Styela clava: one gene and its partners. The protein of the gene in region 1 purifies or fractionates together with the protein of each later gene. This does not show direct contact. Links are inferred from orthologs where the notes say so. Each region holds a gene or a part of one and is shown in the gene's direction. Other genes may lie near its edges.

What was found.
Region 2: the proteins of DNA-directed RNA polymerase II subunit RPB3-like (region 1) and mediator of RNA polymerase II transcription subunit 19-like purify together in Homo sapiens (affinity purification with mass spectrometry; 4 studies listed by BioGRID and IntAct, with this or other methods). This does not show direct contact. The link is inferred for Styela clava from reciprocal best matches to the Homo sapiens genes POLR2C and MED19.
Region 3: the proteins of DNA-directed RNA polymerase II subunit RPB3-like (region 1) and putative RNA polymerase II subunit B1 CTD phosphatase rpap2 purify together in Homo sapiens (affinity purification with mass spectrometry; 3 studies listed by BioGRID and IntAct, with this or other methods). This does not show direct contact. The link is inferred for Styela clava from reciprocal best matches to the Homo sapiens genes POLR2C and RPAP2.
Region 4: the proteins of DNA-directed RNA polymerase II subunit RPB3-like (region 1) and regulation of nuclear pre-mRNA domain-containing protein 1B-like purify together in Homo sapiens (affinity purification with mass spectrometry; 3 studies listed by BioGRID and IntAct, counting the BioPlex papers as one, with this or other methods). This does not show direct contact. The link is inferred for Styela clava from reciprocal best matches to the Homo sapiens genes POLR2C and RPRD1B.

The regions. Positions count from the first base shown.
Region 1 is NC_135263.1:18,252,089-18,259,904, forward strand, and holds the start of DNA-directed RNA polymerase II subunit RPB3-like, read left to right. Parts: upstream 1-4,792; 5' UTR 4,793-4,946; coding exon 4,947-5,069; intron 5,070-6,127; coding exon 6,128-6,253; intron 6,254-6,473; coding exon 6,474-6,602; intron 6,603-6,640; exon of another isoform or gene 6,641-6,874; coding exon 6,875-7,004; exon of another isoform or gene 7,005-7,092; coding exon 7,093-7,246; exon of another isoform or gene 7,247-7,318; coding exon 7,319-7,490; 3' UTR 7,491-7,514; coding exon of another isoform or gene 7,515-7,816. Other genes in the region: lysine-specific demethylase 5A-like, read right to left, coding at 1-2,996; uncharacterized protein LOC120341062, read right to left, coding at 7,515-7,816. UniProt on the Homo sapiens protein: Core component of RNA polymerase II (Pol II), a DNA-dependent RNA polymerase which synthesizes mRNA precursors and many functional non-coding RNAs using the four ribonucleoside triphosphates as substrates.
Region 2 is NC_135257.1:12,133,432-12,140,549, forward strand, and holds mediator of RNA polymerase II transcription subunit 19-like, read left to right. Parts: upstream 1-4,107; 5' UTR 4,108-5,426; coding exon 5,427-6,110; 3' UTR 6,111-6,732; downstream 6,733-7,118. Other genes in the region: AP-4 complex subunit beta-1-like, read left to right, coding at 6,756-7,118. UniProt on the Homo sapiens protein: Component of the Mediator complex, a coactivator involved in the regulated transcription of nearly all RNA polymerase II-dependent genes.
Region 3 is NC_135259.1:4,730,502-4,738,361, forward strand, and holds the start of putative RNA polymerase II subunit B1 CTD phosphatase rpap2, read left to right. Parts: upstream 1-4,854; 5' UTR 4,855-4,955; intron 4,956-5,389; 5' UTR 5,390-5,432; coding exon 5,433-5,440; intron 5,441-5,733; coding exon 5,734-5,848; intron 5,849-6,363; coding exon 6,364-6,462; intron 6,463-7,178; coding exon 7,179-7,327; intron 7,328-7,838; coding exon 7,839-7,860. Other genes in the region: organic cation transporter protein-like, read left to right, coding at 1-210, 308-401.
Region 4 is NC_135260.1:17,609,103-17,616,232, forward strand, and holds the start of regulation of nuclear pre-mRNA domain-containing protein 1B-like, read left to right. Parts: upstream 1-4,129; 5' UTR 4,130-4,271; intron 4,272-4,730; exon of another isoform or gene 4,731-4,778; 5' UTR 4,779-4,857; coding exon 4,858-5,008; intron 5,009-5,244; coding exon 5,245-5,374; intron 5,375-5,619; coding exon 5,620-5,732; intron 5,733-5,916; coding exon 5,917-6,104; intron 6,105-6,547; coding exon 6,548-6,674; intron 6,675-7,028; coding exon 7,029-7,130. Other genes in the region: solute carrier organic anion transporter family member 4A1-like, read left to right, coding at 171-344, 587-640, 802-972, 1,072-1,287. UniProt on the Homo sapiens protein: Interacts with phosphorylated C-terminal heptapeptide repeat domain (CTD) of the largest RNA polymerase II subunit POLR2A, and participates in dephosphorylation of the CTD by RPAP2. Transcriptional regulator which enhances expression of CCND1.

The DNA.
Region 1 (7,816 bases):
TCAACAGCAGGCCTAGGTGACACAGACACTCCAGAATCTATCAACTTCCTTAATTGCTCCAATGTTATCAATGATGGTGGAGGATCACAATCATTTATTTCATCGTCCAAAAGGAGACAAGATCTGACTTCTTCTAACCACTTTGCTTGTTGTAGTGCGTGGTGTAGTAACGTCACCTGTGGAAGTTCCAGATCAAAATCTAGTGAATCCTCTATCAAAACAGCAATGTTATGACTGCAAGGTTCTTCCTCTTGCAGAATAATTTCAGTTTGAGTAACAAATTTTTCAATTCGCTTTATATAATCAGAAACCTGATCCAAGTTTGGAATTGTGCATGGTAAACCTAATAGTTGTAGATAAAAAGCCCTTATTTCTTCCAGCGTCAATAAACAAGTATTTGGATGAGTTATAATACCAGCTGTGGAATGAATTTCTTTTTGCCTAGTCCTGTGCTTTCTAACCACAACAAGCTGTTGGGCAACTCGTGAACACTTTTCGGCTTCCCGTACAGCTGACTGCAATTGATGCAGCAAATCATTTTCTGGAAATTTCCCTTGCACAGCTTCTTCAAGCAATTCTTTCAATTCGTGTAATGTATACTTGTTTTCAAATCTTGAAAACGCATCGCCTAATTTTGTAGTCCATGTATCAAAAGACTCCGCTCGCAATTTCATCTTATGAAGCAATGGAGGTAATTCATCCAATGTGTATCTATATCGAAGTATAAATTTACTTGGATCACAAGTGCTGCAGAGCCTGTTGACATGGAACGTACAGACAAGGTGATCTGGTCTACATGGGCATGTAATTGCGGACAAAAAGCATGCTGTTTTGCAGATGAAACACTGACGTTCATCATCGGGTACAACCTCAAAAGCTTCCCTTTCAGCTTGACATACACCAAGCTCATGAAGTTTCTTTCTTGCTTCTCTTTCCTCTTGCAGCATAGCAAGCATATCTCTGTAAACAGCAGCTGCAAGTTGAACATCTAAAACGTCAGGATTATTGGCGACTTTACATAAAATTTCTTCGTGTGAAAACACACATGCTCTTTTTACTGCGCGATAGTGAGCAACAGATTGTCTGCCAATAGGTATCCAATCAGCTGGACAAAAGTTCACGGCTTCTGCAAAGTTATATCCCTGATTAAAACCTGCATGATATGCCCTGGGGAAGGTAACAATGAATTCACCCGCACATTGGTTAGTTCGGACAACTCGCACACCATTGTTCATCAGAGTTGAAGGATTGATAGTGGTTACAAGATGATGCATAACATCAGGGTGGTTCTTGAATAGGTCAGGTGCGGTATTTTGCATTACTTCTTCCAGTTTGATTGCATCTTCTCTTGGAACACCATACCAAGTCTTTGGTTCTCCCCAGTGAAGATAATTGATAGAATATGTCCAATGATCTTCAATGTGCCAACAAAAAGCAGAGAAGCACATACCGACATAAACCCATGGTATTTTCATTCCTGACATGTCACCAGTCATATAACTTAGTAATGATTGTTTCGCAACTGGTAGATTGTTTAAATTCCATCCACTTTTTGCATAATCCTCTTCTTCAGCAGAAAGTGGATGTTTCTCTTTGTCGCACATTCTAGGAAATCCACTTCCGTGATTAAGAACATGAATATCGGCGCCATACTCCACTGCAACATCCTCTTCTATTGATCCAATTAATCTCCAGAATTCTCTTTCAACCAACTCAGTGGGGATCATGTGAACAGGTTTTGTAAAATATTCTGACTTAAAAGCATCAGCCATTTCTCCAAAACTTTGTAGTGTGTATTGCTTTCTTGCTTGTTCAAAACCATAAGCGTCTATGACTTTGTTGCATTCTTTAGACAAGCATTTTGGACATCGCCAATCCCCTTTGGGAACTTGGTTCAATGGTGGAATCAGACAGTAGGTATGGTAACTGTCATCACATCCATCACAGAGTAAAAGTTGAGTGTCATTGTGATCCTTCAGACAAACTTTACAATTACCCATTGTATCAAGAATGGAGTATGGGAGCTGTTCTGAACCCTTCTTTCGTGTGTTTATTGAGGTTGTGTCAACTGTTGCGGTAGGAATTGCAGTTTCTGGCTTTATCTTAGTTTCTATTTCCCCGTTGTAATCCATCAAATCAAATATATTTTTGCAATCCTCATTCTTCGGTTCTATTTTGATAGTAGCGGGTGCAGGTTCACTTTTAATTTCTTTTTTATTTGCCTCTTCTGATTTTATTCGATTTCTTCTCTTAGCAATTAATCCCAGGCCTACCATTTTTGGGCCTGCACCAAAAAGCTGCAATTTGGCAAGTTCTTTGTTATTTGATACGTCTACAACAAGAGATGGATCATCTATAGTTCTTCTTTTATTTTTCTGGCGGGCAGCTTCACTTTCATCTTCTTGCTCTCTCTGTGGTTTTACCTTGCTATTCCCTCCATATCTTCCTGAAAAACTTGGAAGTGGTTTCCCAGAGCCATCAAGGCTCTCAAGAAGAACGCCAGAAACCATTATGTCATATGGATACAGCAATCTTTCATAATGTTGTTTTATTGTTGCAGAAAAATTTTTTGCAACTCCTAACTTTACACATGCGGCATTCCATTGGCGGTTCTTGCAGACTTCTTCAAATCCCCCCAATTTCCTTACGGTCTCATGGAGACCATACAAATCTAAAGGAGAGCCGGCAATGTGTGGCAGTCTGAATGTAGTACCCTGTAATTCCCAAAACTTAGCTACTTTCTGAATGAATTGAAGTCGAATCCGAGTTTGAATACCTAATTCATTAAGTCTCTGTATTCTCGGTGTAAATTTGAAATTTTCTACGTCAATAGCAAATGGGGGTTGCCAATAAGGTGGAGGCCGTATTTTACAAATGCCTGCTTTTTCTGCTATAGGTCTGATCTTAGCAATGTATCCAAGTGGATGAGCAAATTCTTCTTCGTTTGGCTCAAAAACTGGAGCCTCTGGAGGAGGAAAGAATTCATCATCAAACATATTGAATTTTTACATACAGCAGCTTATTAAGATCTTTAAATATGAAAACAAAATTCAGAAAAATTAATATGGATCTAATTAGATAGAATATACATATTCATCCCGGGGGAGAGGAAAGTACAGCCTAATCATATGGCGAAGCATGGCCTCTCATTAAGTTACCAGTCCATGTCGGGATGGGATTAGTTAGCCAGTTATTAGTTTTCGGAAGCAAGGACTTGATGGTGGAGGAGGCAGTAACCGACCAGCGGTTATATGAACACCCTATGGCGGCGAGGAGTCCGGAAACCGTTTGCACATAACTAACCCTGCATGAGATCGGAACCCACGAACAGTAATCAGAGGTGCGGTGACAAGCATATTCCTAACACTTAGCATGATGCGCCACACCGCCGAGCCGGGAAGAGATATTTCAATTTCCTTAGCATGTCAATTGAAAAACAAAATCATTTGGTTGAGTTGTAATTCTGTTGTGTATTTGCACAATCTTGTACATAAATTAAGAATTTGATCACATTGAGAAGATATCAAAATGCTTTACTAAAAATTTAAATTGTCAATACATCATTTGCATTGAATATCATGTACCGGTAGGCTTACCGGTAAATAGTTTTATGTTTTTGTATATTTCCATGAGACAACTTCGCTTTGAATAAAGCCGGAAAAATATTCAACCATCACTGTCATCAAATATTCTTACAACTTCAATTTATTGGAACAAAGATTATTCAATTTAGTGATATTTAAAAATGATCATTCATCCTGATATGTTGATTTGGCTAACTAGCAGAAGCCTAAATAAGGAGCTTACAAAGTGGGACAAGGTATCTGATCCAATCACAGAAATACTTTTTTCATCTGTAGTTTATTAATTTTTATGTGTTGACATGATTCGGGTTGTAAACATTCCATTTTACACCAAATTTTAGTAAATTTGACAAGAATTACCAAGATGGAATTGGTACACCAGTCATGAGGAAAGCAAATTTTTATTAAAATCAACGAACTCCTGAATTTGTTTGATTAAGATTATAATTGACTAATATTACGAATGATTATGCCTAAACTCAACCCAATTCTAAACTCAAAATTTCAAAGTACTGAAGTATAAGGGTGGTCTGTGTTTATCATCCTTCATGCTGGTTAATATTATAAAAATGTTTTACTTTTGCACTGCTGAGGCAGGTATTTAAGAGCAAATTTCATACTAGATAATAAGGAAGCAACAATTTCAGTATATACAGCTAAACGAAGGCGATAAATTCAGAAATCTCAGTACCCCGTATAGCATTTTTACGCTTCCTTAACGACTGACTGAACGGCGTCGGAAAATCGTAGATGAATTTAAATACACATCACACAGTCACAACATCGCCGTATATAAAGGATCTCACGAGAGAACGCGCACAATCAGATTGCATACCTTTTAAACTTAAACATTCCAAAAACTTTATTTAATTCAACACAAAATTGTTGCGCGAAATGCAAAAAATCCAAACAGTTTTTAGATTCTCGCACACACAGACATATCGCCAAAATTGGATCTACTACATTATTATTTCTACGCTGATTTTCATACCAGGAAAAATCTGCCGAACGGTTATTTAATCCATGGCAAAAATATAACTTAAAATTATTCTAACTAAAATAAATTACCACACAGAAAGGAAAAATATTAGACGCACAAGACCCTGAGCACAATCCGTCGCCATTTTCGCTACGTGACCACTTGGTGTCCGTAAACACAAAGAAGAAAAAGGGCAATGACGCATTAAGATGAGAAAAAAGTTATTTCAGCAGAAAATAGAAAAAATGCAACCCGGCAAATTGTAATTATGTACGAATTTTGCATTTGCTCTGTTCTTTCCAGGGGCGTATATTGAGGGGTTCGATTGTGTGCTTTTTTATTATTCTGGGTTTAGCGCTGACAAATCGAAGACAAACAATACAATGCCTTACGCCAATCAGCCTACAATCGCAATCACGGAACTTACGAAAGACAATGTGAAATTTGTTATTGAAGATACAGATCTCAGTGTTGCAAATTCACTCCGCCGGGTATTTATTGCAGAGGTGAGAATTTCTGATACCGGTAACCGAGAGGAACAGGATGGAGAACCCGGAGAGTTGGCTAAACCAAAGTTGGGTTCGCAGGTTCGAATCCCATGCAGGGATGGTTATGTGCGAGAGGATTGCTGGACTCCTCGCCGTCGTTGGGTGGTTCACGTAACCGCTGGTCGGTTACGACTTCCTCCACCACCAAGTCCATGCTTCCGAAAACAAACAATATAACTAATCCCATACCCGACTTGGAATGGTAACCGGACGAGAGGCCGTGGTTCGCCATATGGATAAGCCGTCTTTTCGGTTTTCCTCTCCCCCGGGATAAATATGTAAATCCTATCCTATCCTAAACTTGATATGAGTTTTGAACATGCCACATAAATGCACTAACGTGATGTAGGCAATTCAATATGAAAAAGCTGTCTTATCGACTATCCTCTCCCCCTGGATAAATTTTGAAGTCCTATCTTGTTGTAACATAGAACGACTTAGAGATACCGTACTCCGACACAGTCTTTAAGGGTATACCGGTACCCTAGCTGCTGAATTACCTTATTTTTTTATTGCCCATATCGGAAGCCGTGGAGCCACCCTTTTCTGGCGAGGAGTCTAGAAATCCTCTTGCACATAATTATCTCCCACAGGATAATCAGAGGTGCGGTGGCGAGCGAATTTCTAATACTTAGCACAATAAATCACATTGTCTAGTCATACCCGACACTCGCTTTCTATTTGCTTCCATGGCCATTACAGTCGTCAACTCCTAAGCTATCCCAGAGTCATCCTCAACTTTTAACCTTTGCACATTTTAATAACTCATTCATTAATAACTTCATTCTTCTACCTGTACGCATGCATGAAATACAAATGTCTATAAGCATGGCATAGACTCAACAATAAAGATTACTAGAGTTCATGTTTCAATCTTATGAACTGGACTATCGGTGAATTAAAAAGTAGTGAAGTGTTATCCATTCTAATATTCTATATGAGACATGTTTCTTTGAAAAATTGTTTGTTTGTTGTGACTGCCCGCCTCACATTACTCTATTTAAATATATTTTAAGGTTCCCACACTTGCGATTGACTGGATTCAAATTGAGGAAAATTCTTCAGTATTGAATGATGAGTTTTTATCACATAGGATTGGATTGATTCCATTAACATCCGATGAGATAGTGGACAAAATTCAGGTAAATAGCAATAAGTAAAATTCAACCAAGCATATTTGAACGGGACCTATAGCCAGCCCATGCGATTAGGTCATTTTGTCTGTTCTCTATCTCTCATTGTTCCTCATTCTATGTATCATACCTGGTTAGTTGATGTACTACGGTAATTAATACATAAGATTATTCAAACCAAAGTGATCATTTTTTATTTTACTGAAGAACGTATTTATCCTGATTTCAGTACTCAAGAGATTGTATGTGCGATGAATTCTGCCCAGAATGTTCAGTGGAATTTTATCTCGATGTCAAATGTACAAGTGAAAGCACGCGACAAGTTACTACTCGTGATTTAATATCCATGAATCCAAAGGTAAAATGGTATTCTTGAAATCAAAATTATCCATTAGATGCTATTTTTTTATTTTATTTATTCTGCAGTTTCATGAGAAATACACATTTATTTATTATGGAATGAACAAACACTATCTGACTTTTCTACCCAATGTCTCGGTCATAATCATATCCAAATATTTTTTTCCAGTTTAAAACATTCCCATTATTTTGCTGGCTAATAGTGATTGCATAAAACATAAACATTTTGTGTAACAAATGAATTGAATGCCGTTTGCATGTTAAACTAAGGTTGTTCCAGTTACATCGAGAAGTAGAGGAGACGAGGTTGAAAATTATGGAGAACAAGATGACATACTGATTGTTAAATTAAGAAAAGGACAATGCCTAAAATTCAAAGCTTATGCTAAAAAGGGATTTGGTAAGCGGGTTTCTTAATGTCTGTCTACTGTATAATGCTTTCGATGAGAAACATTCGTTGGATAAATGAAACTTCAATATAAATATAGGAAAGGAACATGCTAAATGGCAAACAGTTTGTGCATGTGCTTTCGAATATGACCCAGATAACGCACTTCGTCACACAACTTATCCAAAACCCGAAGAATGGCCTAGGAGCGAACACAGTGATCTCACAGATGATGATGATAGACATCAAGCAGAGTAAGTTGTCGTGGCTTGGTTTTATTAAAACCACAATGAGCTACAGTAGCCATTAAATTTATTTTTGTTCAGATTTGATCCGAATGGCAAAGCAAACAAATTTTTCGTCAATGTGGAATCTACAGGAGCCATAAAACCAGAGAACATCATTCTGTCAGGGCTCTCTGTTCTTAAGAAAAAGCTCAGTGACCTCCAAACACAGCTAAGCCATGAACTGCAGCAAGATGGACTAACTATCGCATGATGATGCTGAGAAACGATCTTTTGGTCATAAAGTACCACCACCTTCTGCATCACTAGTTTGTCTGGCTTCAGGTGGATCTACATAGTTGAACATTTTAGGACCAATTTTTTCCAGATGATTTCTGCCACGTTGTCGCCAGAGTTTTTGACACATTTGTAATTTGATACATCGTCTGGCTGAACAGTTGTTGCACATCCTGTACCCATCTACAACTTTCCACTGCTCTTGTTTTAATTCTGGTGCAAGGACATTTTCGTTCTCGGGATTTTCCAATCGTTTGAAGATGATGAGTTCACCATTACTTTTTAAATGTGTCCCACCTATGT
Region 2 (7,118 bases), on another chromosome or scaffold:
TGAAGCAGAAAACTAAAATATACACTTTTTTGTATGATTGAAATGACGTTTTTTTTGGTAAAAAAGAAAAACGATTGGGACTTGTGATGAGGGGTCAAATTTCGCAAGTGCCTGATTTTTCATTTTTTTCGATTACAGTTGCCACATATTTTTGCAATACTTTTCATAAAATCTTTTTCGTCAGAACTTACTAATCATTGCTTTTTAAAGGAAATTCCTAGTTCTACAACAATTTCAGCGTTTTTAATATTGCAATGAGCAATAGCATTTGACAACATATAGATAACCATCGTACTTTTTGGATTTATTTGAAATTGAATAGGAATGATAAAATCTGGCAACCGCAAGCACAAAATACTAAAATCAGGCACTTGTGAAATTTCAGGCACTTTGTAAAAAACCATTTCCCGATGTTTTTGATTACTTTAAAGCCGAAAATCCAAATATACATATTTTGTATGACTGAATTTGGTATTTTTATTGTTCAAAACAAGAAGAACTGTCACTGGTAAAAATGTGGCAAATTTAGCAAGTGCCTGATTTTTTGGTTTTGTCAATGATAGTTGCCATATCTCTATAATTTTTGTCTTTTTTTTATATGTTGTTTCCCTATTGCATTATTTTATAAAAGTCAATGTTTGTATGAGAGCTCCACTTAGCATAAATGGAATTAAACTTTTAACATCAGTATCTACATCCGGAAATCGGTATTTAATTAAACCAATCACGCTTTTGCAAAACTATTTGAATATTGTAAAGTTTGAATGACATTGTGTTGTTTATTTTTTTTAAATTCAAAAGTATGACATATGTATTATTTAAATACGGGTTTAAATTTGACAGATCTGTAAAGAATATTAGTTATTCAGACGACATCTTTATAGTAATGTTCGGAACCCTTGAAATTGGTTCAAAACTTCTACTAATTTGTTATAAACATTTCGACGTAATATATTACCCAGGTAGCAACAATCGCATTGTTATAAAGAACCTAATTTGTCTTCTGGCAATATTAGTTCGAAATTCCAGTTTTAATTGTTATCGGACGACGATTTTAATAATGTAATTTTGGCCTATGACTTCATATAAACTACATAACAGAAACAATTGACTTATGTCGTATAGAATTTTTTATAATACGTATCCAAGTTACATTATCCCCTAATAGAACATAATTTACCGTTCACAAAATGTATAAAAGCCTGTGCAAAATCCATATTGACAACCAGCGGTGTTCAACCACGGCTACAATAAAGATATTCAATCACTTGCTGTTGCTGTTGTATAATATTCTTTACAACCTGAAGATCTGACTGTAATATCTTTTCATGGATAGTTTATGGAATGGATTTCATGGATAGTTTACGTAGAATTATTTGTACATTATTTCATGCTGTAACAGCTAACTGTAAAACACGTAGTTCCTAAATAAGAAGAATGGCTACAGGATTGTAAATACGAGATGGCAATGTCACCTAAACAAAATTCACTCGGCGAATGACATCAGGTAGCTGATATGCCCAAAGTTAGGCTTAAAAGCATCGTTAAACGAATGTTACAATAAAAATCCTTCAATATTCAACACGCCAGTAGTCAGTCAACGAATTTTTTTGCGTTATTCAAAAAGTTACAAATATATAAAAACGTAAAACAGTTTTTGTTTTTAATGTCACAGAAGCCGTATTAATCTCTCGATTATAGATCTTTCTTCATCAGTAATTGGGGATATAAATTTGAATTTAAATTTATTGAGGAGATAAAACATTAAAAACACAACTTCACAAAGGAAGTGTATGAGTGAACACTAATCGAAGCTTTCAGATTAAAAATTATTAGAAATATTGAGTATCCAATGAAAATCCTTACTATTTGTTCTATTTTGACATGATATGATTTACGTATCTTGCAATTAGGTAAAACCACAGATCTAAGAATTGAAAAAAAAGAAAAAGAATTTTAAATGTCAGTTCTGAAATTGAACATGAAAAGGTTTTGTGTATATTTTGCTACTTTTATATGTCGGGCGTATAGTTTCTTCATGTCGCGAAAGAGCATCAGAACAGGTTGTGCAGAAAATGGTGCTGCCGTAGTATGTGCACAAAGTTGGCACATAACCCGAACATAGTATGTGTACCAAGATAGAGGTAATAGGTTGTGCGCCATCTTGGAGCACATAGGCTACTACGGGAGCGCCCTGAAAATACCCACATTTGCAACACCGACTTACCGAATACAAATTTTACACTTCCACAATTTCGCTTTTGATACTTTCTCACATGTATCATGATACCAACGCTTGCAAACGAAGCATTGATATTGTACGTGCTCCCGTATACATTTCGCACTTTAACAGACACTCCAATTATTATTTTCCAGAAAGCAAAATTCATGCATCGGAATGTCAGAGTATATGAGTGGCGACGATGCAGTGCGACAACGTTCCAAATGTGATTGAATTTTTGTTGACTCCGACTTGTTCAATCTTCCATCTGGGCGTTTTGAAGAGGTATGTACTCACTTCCAATATAAATACTTGCACCACCTTCGGGCAGACGTCGAATTGAAATTAGCGATAAGAATAGCACTCAATATACATCGGATTGCCTAAAAAAACATTTTACCGAGAAAGCAAAGTATAGTAAGTACTAAGTTCTGACGAAAATGATTTTATGAAATATATTGCAAAAATATATGGCAACTGTAATCGAAAAAAATGAAAAATCAGGCACTTGCGAAATTTGACCCCTCATCACAAGTCCCAATCGTTTTTCTTTTTTACCAAAAAAGACGTCATTTCAATCATACAAAAGAGTGTATATTTTAGTTTTCTGCTTCAAAGTAAGTATGAACATCGAGAAATAGGTTTTTACAAAGTGCCTGAAATTTCACAAGTGCCTGGTTTTAGTATTTTGTGCTTGCTGTTGCCAGATTTTATCATTCCTATTCAATTTCAAATAAATCCAAAAAGTACGATGTTTATCTATATGTTGTCAAATAATATTGCTCATTGTAAAAACGCTAAAATTGTTGTAGAACTAGGAATTTATTTTAAAAAGCAATGATTAGTAAGTTCTAACTCAAATAATTTAGAAAAATTGTTGCGAAAATATATGGCACCTGTTATCGAAAAAAATGAAAAATCAGGCACTTGCGAAATTTGACCCCTCATCACCAGTCCCAATCGTTTTTGTTTTTTACCAAAAAGACGTCATTTCAATCATAAAAAAGAGTGTATATTTTAGTTTTCTGCTTCAAAGTGTATAAAAACACCGAGAAATATGTTTTTACGAAGTGCCTGAAATTTCACAAGACCACTGTGAAGCTAGCAGCATTTTCAGCCAGAATATTTTTACATATTGAATATAGTTTCCACGCGCATATAATGTTCACTTATAGTTACATATAAAGATTGAAAGATTGCACAAGTGCCTGGTTTTAGTATTTTGTGCTTGAGGTTGCCAGATTTTATTATTCATATTCAATTTCAAATAAATCCAGAAAGTGCGATGGTTGACCATATGTTGTCAAATGGTATTGCTCATTGCAATATTAAAAACGCTCAAATTGTTGTGGAACAGTGAATTTGCGTTAGAAAGCAAAGAATAGTAAGTGCTGACGCAAATAATTTAGGAAAATAATTGCGAAAAAATATGGCAACTGTCACCGAGAAAAATGAAAAATCAGGCACTTGCGAAATATGACACGCCTCCATCAGTCACAAACGGTATTGTATTTTACCAAGAAGTTGTAAATTCAACCATACAAAGTGTTTATATTCAATTTTCTGCTTTAGAGTAATCAGATACATTGTAAAATAGGTTTTGACCAAGTGCCTGAAATTTCACAAGTGCCTGATTTCTATATTTTGTAATCAATGTTGCCACATTTTACTATTGAAAAATTATTTATACCCTAATAAATTGGAAATAATATTGTTTTATTGCAATATAGGGATGCAAAAATTATTTAAAGTCCAATTATCTTGTCAGGTAAATTGGAAATCCCAATGACGTACGGTAAAAATAAAAAAATATCAAAGTGCCTAAAATGGTGCCTGAAAAAGTGCCTGAATTCGCGAGTGCCTGGTTTTAGGGAGACCCGGTTATTGTTTACCATCATCTAAAGCCCATGAATTTTATTGTTCAAATGAGTGGTCGTAATACTTACTAAATACAGCGCGAAACAGCGCAGAAGAGAGGGAAACATTTTTCTTTCATTATTTATAAGCGTCCGTAAAATTTTAAACAATTTGATGGGAAACAGTATACAGTTGTAGGGAATGATCCGAGTTTATATCAGTAATCTTCAATGTCTTTAAATAACCTAACAATACAGCAATGCGATTTTCTCTGAATTATATATTGAATTTGTTAAAGTACAGTACTCTCTATTTGGCAGACCAGCTTTTCTAATAATCATTTTCAATGCGAACGTTAATCACATCAGCAAATAGGATTGGAGTTGAGTTCGATGATCGCATGGTCGTGACTCGTATCACTCCCTCCCGTCCATATCAAAGCAATTTTTATTTTATTTTCGTTACATTTTTTTTCGTATTGATGACTGTTTGTATCTTGGTTGACAAAGTACCAAATATCTCTCTCTTTTTTATACGGAACCAGGTTCTGTGGATAAAAAAAGGGTTCTGTGGATGTGATCACCATTGTACTTGATTAAAGTGTAGTAATACAATTTTACACATGCCCTATACAACTATACAATAAATCTGATGTAAAGTATTGAAGAGTAGAAATATTTTTTTATCAGCCGACTCATTTTATGTCTTTATTTTATAATTTCATATTTTTTTAATCCATACTGACAGTTCGACCACAGCGTAAAAAAAATGGTCGGAGCCTGCATACTGACCAACACGAATCAATGTTTAAATATTCACTGTACTGTATTTCTATAAAAATCTGTACCTATTGTCCTTTCTTAACATTGTTTTGTGGAAATAAAATCTCTCTCTCTCTCTACCGTTATTATACCTAGTGAAAGAGGGGTTTGTACTGTTATAATTGTGTTTTAATGTGGGGGCTATTTTTGCAATGGGAAACGGTCCCTTCACATGTTCTGTGTCAAATTTAGTATTTCAATTGGCATATTTTATGATAACAAATATAATGAAATAAACATATATAATCAATTGCACAGGGGTTGCTTAAGCTTCTGGAATGTTTCATTGGGTTCTGCCCCTACCAAGAGGTTGAAACCCAATGGTTTATCAGGTTGTATAATTATTATTCTGTAATATATTTGAAATAATCTTTTCAAAGATGATGACCAACTTTTGATCGATATATTCATGATGATGCATGAGACAATCAGGTTAATCTTTAGTCTGTCAACCTCTTTAATATTTCGATATTGTTTGAACTAACATTAAATTTCATTTTTCCAGCTTTAAGTCATAAACAAGTAAAATGAATATAAGTTTGCAAGGTGGCGATCACCAGATTCCTAGCTCCGGATTAGGTAGCCATCCTAATAATGATCGTATGAATTTTTCACATGATTTTTTCCAACAGCCTGCCACAATGGAGACACAGCAAATGAACATTGAAAAATCTGAACCTCCTGTGTGCACTTCTACTGGGATATATTTATTAAAAGATCAGGTTGAGCCATCAGTTGTATCGGGAAGCACAAATCTTCTAGCACATTACAATTTAGAAACAACATATAACAAATTTTGCGGCGGAAAGAAAGTAAAAGAAAATTTAAGTTCATTTCTTCCGGATTTGCCTGGGTTTATTGACACACTTGCAATACAAGACAATAGTAGTTTAAAAGCGTTGATCGATCGACCCCCTGTTGGTAATAAAGAAATTCAACCACTATCACAGCCTTTATTATCAAGTTTCCGTTTGCATCCTGGGCCTTTGCCTGATCATTATCGTTCCTTATATCAATCAATTGACTCAACACGACGAAAAAGCAAGCATCATAAAAAACGTAGGTCAGACCCAATGCAAAATACTCATATTAATGAAGGAGAAGAATTTGAGCCCAGAAAGCATAAAAAGAAAAAACATGAAGATGGTGAAAAGAAAAAGAAGAAAAAAGAAAAGAAAAAGAAGAGGGAAAGAGATAAAGAAAGAACCTGATTTGCAGGACACACAAGAATATTTTTTGCCATCAAGTTCAATCATTCAAAAAAACTTGAGGGCGAAGTGAATCACCCATTTGGGACTAGCGATTCAAACCGGCAGATAGTTCTTGTTAAAATTGCAGATGGAATTTCAGGGCAATCAATCATATATTATTTGAATAAAACTTGCTGTCCCATTGATTCATCTTCGTCAATAAACTTGAACAAGAAAGAGCTATTTATAATAAGATGCGAAATGATAATCTCTTCTCAAATTATAGTCTTACTTTATGTTTGAATATCTTGGCCCTTTGATATTTCAATTGTACTGTTTTGGTCATAATTCTAGTCAAGAGGATTGTATGTACAGGTCTATATGCATCAAATCATATGTCGCTAATGGATTATGACGGGGGCTCTTTCATCTTATCAGCAAATATGCTGTAAAAACGGAATTTACTGTGATAATATTGATAACAGTTTTGCTGTAAATTTCATGTCATTTGCTTGAGATCCTGATTGATCAAATTTGGAATAGTATTTATATTCTATTTCAGAATATTACAGTTTATCTTTTCACTATATCTTAGGCCTTATTTTTAAATTATGTCCATCTTTTTTGTATTTTCTTTTTTAGATACTAAACAGCTCTATTGTTAGAATGAATTATGATTCCTCCCATGATATCAGTCGTAGACTTTCTAAGGAATTATCAACAGACTTAAATAGGAATTCTCAAGCAATATTGGAAATACTGAAAGATCTTTTGAGAATGTGTGATGGTGAATTACTTGAGTCTACACGTGTGTTGAATTCGGTTATACAGCTGACTCAAGTTAAAGATGTACGGGTGAAAAAGATTGTATATTTGTACCTTTCATTTGTTGGGGAACATGATTCAGAAATTTGGTTGCACATCACAAACTCTATATCAAATGACTTGTTGGATCCTAATCCATTTGTCAGAAAAGCTGCTATTCTTATTCTGACTGATTCCCATTCAATATCGTCTTTACTTAATGAG
Region 3 (7,860 bases), on another chromosome or scaffold:
AAGCAACGGACTTGGTGTGTCAACTGTAGCAGCCAGCTTGGGAAGCATTCTTGCGCCCATAGTCATTTCAACATCTCATTTATGGTTACCAAGCTTAATGTTTGGGTTGTTATCAATTATTGCTGGCGCGTTGTTTTTTCGACTACCAGAAACAATCAATAGGCCAATGACAGAAACTCTCGAAGAAGCCGATCACTTTTATGCCGGAAGGTTTGCTGTGTGCTACATTTTTCGCAAATACACTATCACCAACAACAGTAGGCCTACAATGATTTAAATGATAAAACAATTTCCTTTTTTGTTTCAGGAGTACACTGCGACAAAAGCAAAGTAATTTGTTTTCTCACAGTGTTTTATCGGTAGTCTCGGATTCTGAATTGACAACAACACAATCGAGCTAACTGAGGATACCATGTAATGGTCTTGCATACTCAAGGCAAAACTCCACAACATTTTTTTCACTTGCGCAATATCACTGCTACTTTTCAACCTACATAATGTTATATTTTCCTTTGATTTACATGAGCTAGCAATTCTTTGTTAATCCCTTCAAGACACATGTGCGAAGTTTGCGATCTTAAAAATGATGACAAAAATATATGCTAGTATTCATGGGAGATTTCTGGTGAATTTATTTGGCCGTTTTCAAGATTATTAGTTATCTATAATAAATTGAGTTTCAATGTATGGATTGTTTACCTAATATTATCGACAGACGACACAAATAATGATTTATTTACCTTATTTATTTGATTTTCGACGTCTATGAAACCATGTTTTTAGTTTGAGCAGGAGGTAATTCTTCTCAGGGGTCTCTTCTCTCCATAGTCACCCCCATCCATTTTATTTTCAAAATATAATGACCGCGAATCATTTCTTCTGGATGTTCAATAAACACTAAAAATTCAATTTACTTCCTAATCGTTAGTTACTTACAATCTGACCTATAGTTTCGGAGAGACAATGTGCTGATTGCCAGGATCGATAGTGGTCAAAAACAACGATTTTTCTAGAATTGCAATAGTTTTCAATATTTTGATGACTTCATCAAGTCATCGCTTACCACAAATCTGAAATTAGTTTGAATATCATTACTGAATATTATTGCTACTACTACTGCGCGAGTACTTTTGCGAATCCATCACAGTAATATTAACTTTTTCGTGCTTCCGTACGTGAATGATGTGTTCAAATTTTAGTATTGCAACATATTTGATATTTACAACATATTTACAAATTGATAAAAATAATCATTAGCAAGAACAACAACAACATGATCAATGCTCTAGCTAGATCTTGGATATGGACACGAAAGTCAAAATGAAGTAGTACCGGTATGCAATCTTTCACAGAGGACTACCGGTACCTCAGTCTTCACCACTGCGCCTGACCACCAGCTAGCAACGAAGGCAGACGCGGAACCGCCACAGGGTGCGCAATTTTTATATTTGATAACGTCATCGCACACACAAAACTAATCTTATAGAGTCCACAAAATATAGCCTTCTAGCGACAAATTCAATGTTTAACCACTGGTAATTTCAAAGCAATTGGTCCAGTAGATAATTAAAATAGCTATTTTTTTCTCAAGAAGTAAAGAATGATTAATAAGAGTAACAAAATGATCCATACCGGTATGTACATTTCGTGTACCACAAGGGAACTCCAATACATTGACACGAAAATCAAAACGAAGGGGCGCACTATTGCCGTTCGTTACTAATTACCATCCAAATCAACCAAACTTCGGAAAAATTTTCTCAAAATATCAATATATACTAGACAATAACGAAAGATTGAAAAACATCTTCCCTGCACCCCCCAGAATTGCCTACAGAAAGTGCCCGACATTACGAGATAAACTGGTTAGGGCCAAGCTGAAACCGGAATCACCAAGAGAAGTAGAAACAGGCTTTTTTAAATGCAACAGGAAATCATGCACTACCTGCAAATATTCAAAAGAAACCTAAACAAGCACTAGCAGCATCACAGGGATTCAATTAAGCAGCAATCCAAGAATTTCCCTGAAATTCGGAAAACGTCATATATCTAAGAACCTGTAAGAAGTGCGGTAAGCAATATATCGGCGAAACAGGCAGACATTTAAAGTACAGAATTACAGAACACATCAGAAGCATTAACCAAAAGAACAAAGATCTCGCAGTCGGCAAACATTTCAGTCAATTAGGCCATTCTATCAACGACTTTTTGGTAATCGGACTAGAAAAACTGTATCGAGATTAAGCATACCGACAAACAAAAGAACCTTATTTTATCAACAAATTCAAAACATTGGAACCTCTAGGAATGAATTTGAGAGATGGTTAAACTCCTGATTTATGTTAATTTGAACATTATATTCCGTTATGCGCTTATACTTGATTTTTATTCAACTTTTAAGTCATTATCTGACATTGTAGCCTTGACACTTACATGAACTCAACCAACGCCGCAGACGGAGTTACGGGAAAACAGCACGAAATTGTTTGCTTTACTTTTCAATTATTACTCACTACACTGTGGGATACTTATTGAGTACAATCCAAATCTAGCTTCCCTATTGTTCTGGCTCTCTCCCAATCTTAGTTATTTTTCTCTATCGGAAACAGACCAAACATTTGATACCATTATTTATGTGCATGCAATTGCGTTTCTTGTCATAGTTGTAAAATGCTTGTCTGAAGAAGTCTGACCTCGGTCAGACGAAACGTTACAGAAATATATTTGTGTAAGTGTGCAGCAAGACTCTTGAATTGAATAGAATAGGTATTTTCACTCTTGCTATAGCATCCTTGCGTTATACGCATACGGATCCATCTGCGCAAAGGCATAGAGCAAGGAAAGGTAGTTAGTTTCACGTAACCCCGATTGTTAGTTAAATAAACAATATGTAATTAAAATACGACAACTAAGTTCAGAAATTCTATTAGTCTTCAGGATTGGCTGTGGTATGCAGATTTAGTTAGTTTATGACACTTCAAGATGGAAATTTTTCTAGAAATTTCATTTTTTTATAAAAAAAGTTCAAAATCCAATTCAAAATAAAACGAATAGTATCGTGTGATGTATATATACATATATAATCAAGGATGTCAAAAAAGAATATTAAAACTTCATTTACTATGTTCACACCATAGCTTGAACATAATATAAAAGAATATGAGTGGTCAAATTTAATTATTATATTATTCCAAACACTCTCTGAAACCTATTCCAGTGTATTCAATTTCAAGGCTGGGTCATACATAAGAGGAGAGTTATTATAAATAATTAAAAATTACAATGTTATGCGGAATATCAACAGAACTAATATGATTCATTTTATTTTTGCAATGTAAGACCAGCACAAATACCCAGATGACAAATTGTAGATTTATATTTTTGATAGGGGTATGGATGTCCATAATATACCTACGTTAACAAAGTGAACCCCAATCTGAAATTCTCGGAAGTCAATAAGTACACAATAGGGTACTCCCGTAGTATGTGTACCAGATTAGGGTTAGACCATAATTTTATTTCGATTTTTTTATTATTTTAGTTCTATTACGAGTTCGGGGGCTGTCTGTGTTGGCCAAGTGAATATCCCCTGCCCATAGGTTTCAGTCCGAATTGATCCAAATAACAGACAACGAAATGCACTTAAAACCTCAACGAAAATATATGTGATGAAACCAAATTTCTCACCTAACAAAAAACAATAAAACAAAACGAGAATATCGGTCAGAGACCGAAGACTTATCGATCGAAAGTTAGGGGATCCCCAAAACAGCGATCTTACTCCATAATGACACCTTGTGTCCCATCACTAATTAATTGATAACTCGCTAATTATACGACATAAATCATCCAAAATCAAGCACATGCAAAATCTGGAGCAGATTCAATCTCGCCTCCGTGAGATATCACGTGCATCTAACAGGCAGACAGACAGACAGACAGACAGACAGACAGACAGACAGACAGACAGACAGACAGACAAATACCTATTAACATACTTGCCGATTAAAATCGATAAGTAACAAGCAACACTTGAGCAAGAGCGATACCACGTATTAGTAATAAGTCATCATGAAAATATTATAAATGCAATGAAATTGGAATTATGCGTCCAGTATCAACGTGGTTCAAAATACCAAATGATTCAAACTGCAGTATCAAATCTTTTGCAATACCGGTAAGTAGGCTACCTTCATCGTACCCCAAATTCCGGACATGGCTGAGCGCGAAATCGCTGAAATACAATTGCGAAAACCGCCACATGAGCGCATTTTTTTTTAAATTTTGGTCACGGCATCAAACAAAACTTCAGAGTGAAAAGCGAATCCCATTGAACCCACAGGAATTTGAAAAAAAAAAATGAACAAGAGAGCCATGCTCAAATATATGGACACGTCTGATTCACAAATGTAGTAACACAAGCGTTCCGAATCACCACTATATTATAACACTAGGTACCAGTACCGCGAAGTTCACCATTCCCCGCAAACAAATCTTAGCGAAGCGAGGATTACGTTCGCTTGTCAGCTGATATGCCTTTGCTTACATGCTAACTAACGAAACAATGTCTTCTGACCATTGATGAATGGAATATAACTGAAGATCCATTTCGTTGTTTAACGTACAGCACAATACGAAATAACCCTTTTTAATAGCCAAGCAAAACGGAAACGAATAACACGACACGACTTGCAACCAACAGGAGCGAGGTCCGGATGTTTTTTTTTTGCCGTCTAAAAATGGCGGCTTAAACATGTCACATGACCCGAGCAAGTTATCTATAGGAATAATTTTTTTGGGGGGTCAAAGGTCGGGGAAAGATTCATTGGTCCAGTAGTTAAATGAAATCAACAATTTTGAAAAAGATCATTAGGTCAATTTTGTGTCCACAATAAAACGACGACTACAAGACCTGCAAATCACGACGATTACAAGACCTGCAAATCACGACGACGGTGTGGCTCAACGGGCTAAATGTTAGGAATACGCTCGCAACCGCACCTCTAATTACTCTGCGTGGGTTCGCAGGTTCGAATCCCATGCAGGGATGGTTCTGTGCGAGAGGATTGCTGGACTCCTAGCCGTCGTTGGGTGGTTCACGTAACTAACCGCTGGTCGGTTACGGCTTCCTCTACTACCAAGTCCATGCTTCCGAAAACAAACAATACAGTAAAACTAATCCCATACCCGACTTGGAATGGTAACCGGATGAGAGGCCGTGGTTCGCCATATGGATACGCCGTCTTATCGGCTTTCCTCTCCCCCGGGATAAATATGTAAATCCTATCCTATCCATATAGTAAAAAATAATTCGAACCCTTTGACCTAGGTTGGGAAATCCCCCTTTTTGTTTTATTTCATATTATCTCCGTAATTGCCATCATTTTAGATTTCCTGGCTGCTTGATTAGAAAGATCATTATAATTATTATTATGGCGAGGTGAGTTTCAACTGCTTTTATTCATTTATATATATTATGAATAAATTTATTCATAAATATCGACAATCCAACGTGAGCTCAGTGTTGGATTTCGTGATCAAATTTATAACACCCATTTCTATTTTGACAATACGGCAATATTAATCTAGTTCATGTAATTCGATGATTGTAAACTGGTTTAACCGCCCAAAATCATCATTGTTAGTTTTTCATAAATGTGAAGAGCATGAAATACTGATTAAAAAATTTTTTTACTATCAAGATTTATTATTCATTGTGATACATTTTAACAGTCATTCTTCAATAAAAGAAGAATATGAAAAAAGAAAATTAGCAGAAAAACAAGCACATTCGATTGTAGAAAAACTCATCGAGGAAAAAGTTCAAAAAGATCAGTTTTTGTCCTGGGTATGCTTGAATTGAACTTATTTCACAACTTAAGTTTATCAATAAAAAATCATTTCTCTTGTATGACAGTATGATAGCACCTGTTATCCTTTAGATGTACTGATTTGAACTGCTCTAAATCTTTAATATAACGTTAACTCTTACAGATTTGTTTATGTTTCTACTCTAATCAAGCAGAAATAGGGGAAATATGCCGATGCTATGTTTAGGTAAAGGAAAGGATTTATTTTTGCTTTCTGTTTATCAATTGTCAAGCATCTATTTCCTATAGCAGTATAGTCTGAAAGCGAAGCACCCATGTTATATAAGGGTTGCACCCTTGTGAATACCAACATCCTGAATATATACTTTTGCACATGATAAATTTGAATTCTAAAATAAAATTCAATTAGTTAGGTAGGTAAATATTTTTATGAACATGATATGTAAAAACTTTATATACTATCTAATAATCAATCATAATTTAGATGGGTGATAATTTTAGATGTTTATATATATTAGTTTATATATACTAGCTGAAGTTGATCACCGGGCAACATTATACAGATGCTGTAGAAGAACGTTCATTATCCGACTTATGCGGTTATTGTCTATGCAAAAACAAGCTCAAAGAAGTTAGTGTATTGCTAGTTTTATTTTCTGTTTAAATTATGCATGCTTTCTTGTATATTCATGGTACATTAAACTCAAAATATTTTATTACACTTCAATGTGTGTCAGTGATTTCTTTTATTTCTGGGTATTTTGGATTAAAAGTACCAAAGGTCTTCTCCACAATAATCAATAATTTTCATCAGCAAATATTTTAACCTGTGTCAAACTTCAAAATTTAGAAGCCCGACCTAGTAATTTTTCGGCTTCTTGTTTTTGGTCTTAGATATTTTACTTTTCATCCATATGAACCTTATTTTATCTTGTTCTCTTATTGGTAATATAGAAAAAAGTGGCAAGTGTTTTTTGGATATAGATCAAAAGAAAAAGATGTTGCTTAGTAAAAAAAATCCTGAAAACGAAAACAAATATTAGAGCTAATGATGTTATGATCGTTATATATTTAGATATATTTCAAAACTCTGGAATCTGTGCCAAATTAAAAAAAATTTAGATGTCGAGAGATGGTAATCAATGTTGAAATTTCCGACTGAAAGGCATTAGGCTTATTAAGCATTCTGAACTGTTGAAAGTTCTTCAACCTATAGGCGGAGTGAAAAAATTTCGTCCAGTGTCTGGGGCTAAAGTTGGTCATTTGTTGATTGAAATTGCTTATTTTTAAGCATTGTTAAATAAATTGTTATTAACCATGCATTTATTGATTTCTTGATAACAATAGATTCCAACGCAGCAATATAAGATAAACAAGAACAAAGTGTTTGATATAACTGAAAGGAAGAAATTTTGTAGCAATCGGTGTTACGCAATATCATCCAATATACTAGAACAAATATCATCAACCCCATTGTGGCTACGAAATCATGACCTGTAAGTGTAGTTTCTCATTATTTACTGACATTTTTTTACCCTGTTTACCTCTGCTGAGTCCTATTAGCATTAATGGGAGTCACAGAACTAAAGATGGGCAAATAGATTAAAATCCTTTATAAACTTAACTCTGATTATTCTTCAATTATTGATTTCAAAGATTTATATTATTACTAATAATGTGTCTTGCATACAAAAAAATGAATTACCGTAAATTAAATAGCCTACATTGAAGAAAATAACAGATTTTTGATGACACACATGTGACATGAATATGAATGAGCCTTTGACTTCAGTTTTTAAAATTATCTATGTATTATCTCTTTGATATCAATAACTGTGTGAAAATGTATTCTCTTTCAACCTATATCAGAAAGTTGTTTTGTGCATGAAATGAACAAAAAGTCATTTTTGTCTAGATAGTTTCACTTTAGTGTTATAGTCTTCACTCAGAGTAAGGCTCTGTCACAGGAACCGTTATAATTTCTTAATATTCTCTCTTAACATTCAGAATGCCAGATATCACAATTCCA
Region 4 (7,130 bases), on another chromosome or scaffold:
TTTATTTTTCATAAAATGCGTGATAGTTTAGCAGAGTTGTTTCATGTTGCTCTTTTAACGACATTGTCACAAGGGATCGAAATTTTCTTCGGAAATGGCTCGTAACCCCTGGATACGTATCACGGAACAGTAGGGAGCAATATGATCCAACCAATTCATCCTTTTTACAGAATTTTGACAACTGCTCAGGAGTATTGGATTCATCCTCAATCAGCGAAGTTTCAATGGCGTCAGCAATTAAGGGAAAATGCGTACAAGATACATGTCAAAACATGGGACTATTTGCAGTCATCATTGCACTAGCAGTGTTTTTCATATTTTTAAGTGCGCAACCTGCATTACAGGTAAGAAGACTTTTCCAACAAATACGAAACTGTTATATTTTATGCAATAACACCCATCTATAAATGTTTTTTAACCAATAAATTGACATTGACTGTCATTCCACCGCCAAATTTGCAACCTTTATTTCCTACCTATATTTGAAATGTTACGGAATCTATATACCAGGAAGTTATTTTTGAACAAAACATATTATATGTTTTTTGAATTTTCTATTATAAATAATTCAACTTATCATTTACAGGCTTCTCTTCGGGCTGTCCCTTATTTCCAGCGTTCATTTGCAATTGGAATACAGGTACTTAATTAAACTTCTTTTCTGGTATTTGCCACATATTTTGATTAGGTGTTTCAAAAAGTTTTCACATTTATTGCTGATTTTTTTATATGTTCGCGAAAGCAAATGTTCGCAAATTTGAACCACCGTTCGTTTTAACACCTACAACAAATTTTTTTCAGTGGCTGATCCTACGACTGCTCGGAAGTGTCCCCATGCCTAATATACTCGGAGCAGTTTTAGATCTGTCCTGTACGGTATGGGGAATGCAATGCGGAGTCTGTGGATCTTGCAAAATATATAACAACCAAGATATGTCAAAGTATATGACGATTGTACTAACAGTGGTGAAGGTACGTTCATATATGTTGCAATACCATACGTTAATTGCATTGAAGGATAAAAATACTCGTTAAAAATACTCAAACATTATTATATGTCTTGTTCCACAGGCGTTTTCGGTGTTTTTTTTCGCGTTGGCGTGGAAGACCTACAAATCACCGCCACCGAAAGCCGACGAATCCGAGAGTACCGCTGTTAAAACGACGTGTTCGCCTACAAAATCAGCTGACGCAATTCAAGGAATCGCCATGACTGAAGTTGATCACAAGAAAACTTTACCGGAGGATCGAAGCCATGATAATCCGAACTTTGTGCCCGATTCGTAATTTAACGTGGTGCCGGTTAACTAAAATTAAGTGCTAACGAGAATAGACTGAAAAGATATTCAGCCATAGTGTACCTCATAATATATTCCGGCAAGAACACTGCAAACGAGAAACGACGAAAATGTCTGCCGAAACAATATTTCCAGGGCATCGTTAGTGCAGCAATTCGAAAAAATGCCTTTCTTGGGATGACGATAATTACGTGACAAATTGAAAAAATGATTTCATTGACAACGAATATCAATCTTCGTCTTTGCATAAATGAAAAGATTCCTTCTCATTTAATAAAAACTATAATCTTGATTTAGTTAATCTGAAAGCATTCCAAAAATCGACATTCAAACTATTTTTCGAAAATAGTATGTATACTGCCGAAATGACGTTACTAACCCTACGTATATAGGCTAAGTAATTTGCTAGGATGATAAATTAATTTGAGCTAGATGTGAATCAGTGCAATTTCGTAACCAATTCCATCAACTGAATTTATCTTCAATCTACTTTTATTAAACTATAGTATTTATTTATTCTAGCATTTAATATTTAATTTCATATTAATGTGATAATGTTTATGGCAATAGACAATCCAATTGTAAATAAGTTTTATTACAGCAATGTCGTCATGCACTATTTTTTAAATTTTTTGAATGATTATTTAAGAGACATAAAAATAAAAGTCGGTACAGGTTTCCGCAAATTGAAAATTTTCATTAGTATTCAAGTGGGAGACTTTAATAGAATATGAGATATGGCAATATATAGCCAGTGACAATACAGAGCACCTCCGGTGCGAGTGGACAACAAACATTTCTTGGTCAGTAGACTTTTATTGCAACGTTAAGGAATCCATTGAAGCAGTGTTAGAGTCCCTGAAAAGAAATGACTTGACTTTATAGTTTTATTCCAATATATATGTGCGCAAAGTCTTGAATCTAGCTCTATCACACCAACCTAACTATTCAGAATTTTTTCTTAATATTTAATATAGAAATAGAATATATTCAAAGAGGAAACAATTTATTTGAAAAATTACGATATTATTCTATATATCTTAGCTTTAATCACATTTGAAATAGCGCAGATATTAGGATAATTGATGAACCCATGCTTTTTACTGCTTGGTTGATGATATAGAGAAGTGCTTCTATTATAGAAGTAGTATGCCCATGGGGGGACTTCATTTTGGGGGGGGGGGTGGTAAATAAATAATACACACAAATTAAAAATGGAGAATCCCGGGAAGCGAGCAAAATCTTTAATGCAGTTTTAAATATGAGAAAAATCATGTGCCCGCTCACCAGCACACTTTCGTAAAAAAGTTACAAAAAACACAAACTTTATTGAAAAAAATTGACGAATGTTTGGAACTTTCGGGATGTTGTACTTTTAAAATACTTCAGCTAATAATGATCCATTCAATCTGATACAAAGATAACGTGTGGTAAGTGGTGGTGAAAGGATAGTGTTTCTTAGAGATGGTTGCTTGGAAGAAGCATGTTTAAATATTCATTGTAAAATATTATCTAATAATATAAAAACCTTTAATTATAAACTAATGTTTCAGTTAAAGTTAAACCAAGGATTAAACATATTTCTGGAAATGATTTATGTGTATTTTGTTCTCAAGCACCGGAATTTATATCTCATTTATTTTGGAAATGTGCTGAACGCAAAAGGACTGACGTAATCTGCAAGAACCTATGAATAATTGTATTAATTTTTATTTTTCTGCCAACGATAATTAAAAAACATGTGAAATAATGTCTATTTACTGTTAAACATGGTGAACTTTATCTGGAATCAACAATGGAACAATTTAAATTACTTGATAATACTGGATTATGTTTATGAATATATTTATTTATTATACGTGACTATGTTCTATGTTTATTAATTTTTCACCATTTATTTATTTTTACAAAACTGTTTCGAATCCACAATGAGAAACCTTATAAAACAAGAGAGCTATGCTCAAATATATGGACACGTAGAGTCACATAATTTTGATGACGTCATAGCGAAAAAAAAAATATAGCCTTCTGGAGAAAATTTTATTCTTCAACCACTGAAAATTTCAAAGCAATTGGTCCAGTATTCGAAGAGAAAAGCGACTTTTTAAGAACGTGTCAAAGAACAAGAACAACAACAACAACATAATATTGAAACGATCGTTATGTCCACTACGTGTCCAAAAAGACAACGTGTGGGATGCAATGTGATGAAGTGGCCTGGATAGTCAAAAGTCATGAAGAACTACACTAATTCGGCATTGGTGAATGATGATAAAGTGGTTTAAGATACATACAAACTTGAATCAACTATGCCAATACATTCTATGCTCGGAAACTCCTAAGTGCAATTTCAAGTATTTTGTGGCGTCTAGAGCTACATTAAAACCATGGCGGGATTTCCAAACCATTGCGCTATGACCAAACCAACGACTGGACCAAACCCATTGCGACTGACTTTTTAACAGCAAATCGAATACCATCAATTTTGCTGCCGTAACCATGGCATGTCGGCTGTAATAGTAGGGCTGCCACTGATGGTGATAAATATTAGGGTATCTCCTGAAGTATGCGCTCCAAGATGGCGCACAACCTGAACTCAGGTCGTGTATCAGCTTAGGGTTCCGGTTGTGAGGCATCTTGCTGCTCATACTTCAGGAGTACCATATCGGGTAAGTTGGAACGCTTTTTTTATAAGTACAGTTTTGATGTATTTGGGGTTGGGTTTAAGTCGATATATTTCCGCATGATAAACTACAATATTGTACATGACTTTGTAAATATACCGGTAATACAGCGATGAAACCATGGCAAGAGACGCCGCGGTACGTTCGTGGCAGGAGCTGCCATGAAGTGGTAAGAACTGCGCCTCGAAACTCCGGTAAGCTGGTGCGCACACGGTAGACTCTGGCTATTTCAATTGCCAGTTCTGCAGTTAGATGATAACTTCGTGAGACTTGATTCTAGCCAAAGTAGGTATTCAAGTCGCAAATTTGTCTAGTTTGGTTCTCTTATGAATAGTATAGATATTAGATAGGTATGGCAAATTATGCATTGTTACCGTATCGTATCTCGAGCAAAGTGGTGCCAATAAAACTAACGGCGTGACATTTATTACTGTATTACACTTACAGTATTATCTGAAATTTGAACTCGTGGGTTTTCATTTTTCCTAAAAAGGAGAAATTCTGAAATTGAAATTGGACAATATGGTACCAATGCAGCTAAAACTGTACGGTACGGTACCTATAATGACCTATATGACAGAATGCGATCCTAATTCTAATTGTCCGTGCGTAGACGGCTTTGCTTGTGTGGCTAAAATCTAGCCCATGTTCACATGTTAGTTCAGTCTCCTTCAGCCTTATTTTGCCAATTTTCAAAATGACTGAAAAGTGCCTAATTCACAATTGCCTTCTTTTGATCTTTTAGTCTGTATAGAATTAGCCTATAATATTAATATACTGATATTATTCGTTACAGTACTGCATGGTTCTGGCTGTATTCCTGGTTTCCGGGTTTTGTTAGATAGACATAGTTGGTGACCAGGTAACGGTCCAACATGTCATCATTCTCAGAAGCTGCACTTGTGGACAAGTTGTCTGAATTGACTAACTCAATGCAGATCATTCAGACACTGTCTTTGTGGCTGATACATCACCGTCGTCATTCAAAAACAATTATACAAGTTTGGCAAACAGAACTAATCAAAGGTAATGTGAAATGATTTTGACAGTTTAAACAATTTTCTTGACTTATTTATCACAGTATCATAAGATCATTCTGTTGTGAATTATTGTAAAAGAACAGGAGGGACTAGCAGTAAACCCATTTTTTTTCAAAACAGACAATTTGTAAGAAAGTAGGCTAGTGAAACTTTATTACGGATCGGGTATAACTAAGTATGATATATTTTCAAACAACATATTAAAATATATCTTCATTTTAGCAAAAACCAGCAAAAAGTTGACCTTCCTCTACCTTGCAAATGACATTCTGCAAAATTGCAAAAAGAAAGGTCCAGAGTTTCATAAAGCATTTGGTGGAGTACTGATAACAGCGTTTACTCACGTTGCTAAGTATATACCATTTGTTTATGTATTATTTAATTTTATATGTTTTTTTTTCGTTTATAAGTTCCAATGTAAATCCACAATAATTTTAGATTTCATCTGTGGAATTCAAAAAAATGTTCATTCTGGTACAAGCAAATTGTATAGATAAAATTGGAAACTTAATTATCTGATGAACATCTACCAATGTAATGCTTAGTTTGCTATAATTGCTATTTATCCCTCGATATCCAAAACAAATTTATTTTCAGACATGCTGATGAAAAAACAATGAAATCCGTTCTTCGTATTCTTGACATTTGGCAAGAGAGGGCTGTATTTGAAATGGAATATGTCAATCAAATAAGGAAGTCTATAGGGAAAGGTAATAAATTGGATTTTTCATCCATGATTCATACATATTGATGCTGCTCTGCATTATAATAAAAAATGAGTATATTTGTTTGTTCGAATATTGCGAAGAACTTTGGGGTTTTAAGATTTGGTCATGTAAATTCATAATTCCATGATTAAAAATAGTGAAATTACTTTGTGACCATTTCCAACAGTATCAAAACAAACAAAGCAACCGAAAACGAAGAAAGTACAGCCAACGAAGAAAGTTGCAGTTGCTGATTCATCATCAAAAGCTCCAGAAGAAGAAAAACCTGTAAGAAAGAAAAGCCGACTCGATGAATTAATAACAGAAGAAGAGGATGATGATTATTTAACTTTATCACCGAGGGATCCTCCAGAGGTTGATTTTTTATTTAGCATCATTTGAAAACTCGCAGCAGTATGTAAAAGTCTGTAGCTTAATGAAGTAATTTAAATATTTGTGAGTATGATCAGGTTTTTGTACTTTGATTCACCAAATTCATACATTTACTGAAACAATCCAAAACAAGACTGCCAGAAGAAAAACGAGGTACTCAGGGTAAAATTTTATAGCATAGAAATTAAGATAATCCGGAACCTTCCAACGTAGGAATGAGATCTACCGACTCATCTAGTAGGAGAAAGACAAAATGTTTAGAATAACATTGTCTGTAATATGATATTCATACAGTTAAGCCTCAACGTGAAAGAAATTTCAAACCTAAAGCATCATATTCATAACTCCCATAAGAATTTTGTCAGGCAGGTTTAGAAAATAACAAGAGAATCTTCAACCTATTTTTATATTGTTGTATCATCCAGGCTGAAGATCTAGTAAAAGCTCTAACAGAATTGGAGAATGCGGCCTCTACAGATGCAGCAGTTCGTGAAAAAATTGCAAGTTTGCCTCCTGAGGTTCAAGATATATCAAGACTGGATAAGATAGCTGGTAGGTTTTTCTACATCTGAAAACCTATTGTACTGAGATGTCTACTGAATTCTAGTTGATGTTATTTATTGAGATGTAATACTAATGCTGCCATGTCATGGGTTAACTAAATAGTGCAGTTTAAATTATGTGATCAGACTTATAAAACAATTCTCGTTCTAAATATTTAATTGTAGGCAACATCACATGTTGAACTACTTATATCTTATGGTTTTCTCTCGGCTTTGCATAAAATTTTTCATATGCACATTGGCTATCACATTATATTAACATACTTCAGTATATCTAAGTAGATTGTGGAATGTGAAATATCAGTCCTTCTTGTTACTATAACATATTTATGTCATAATTTAGATATTGAGAGTGCAGAAAAGTTATCGGCAATAGTGGATGAAGCTTGTCTGCTTTTAGCCGAATATAATGGTCGACTTGTTGCTGAAATTGATGATAGAAGAC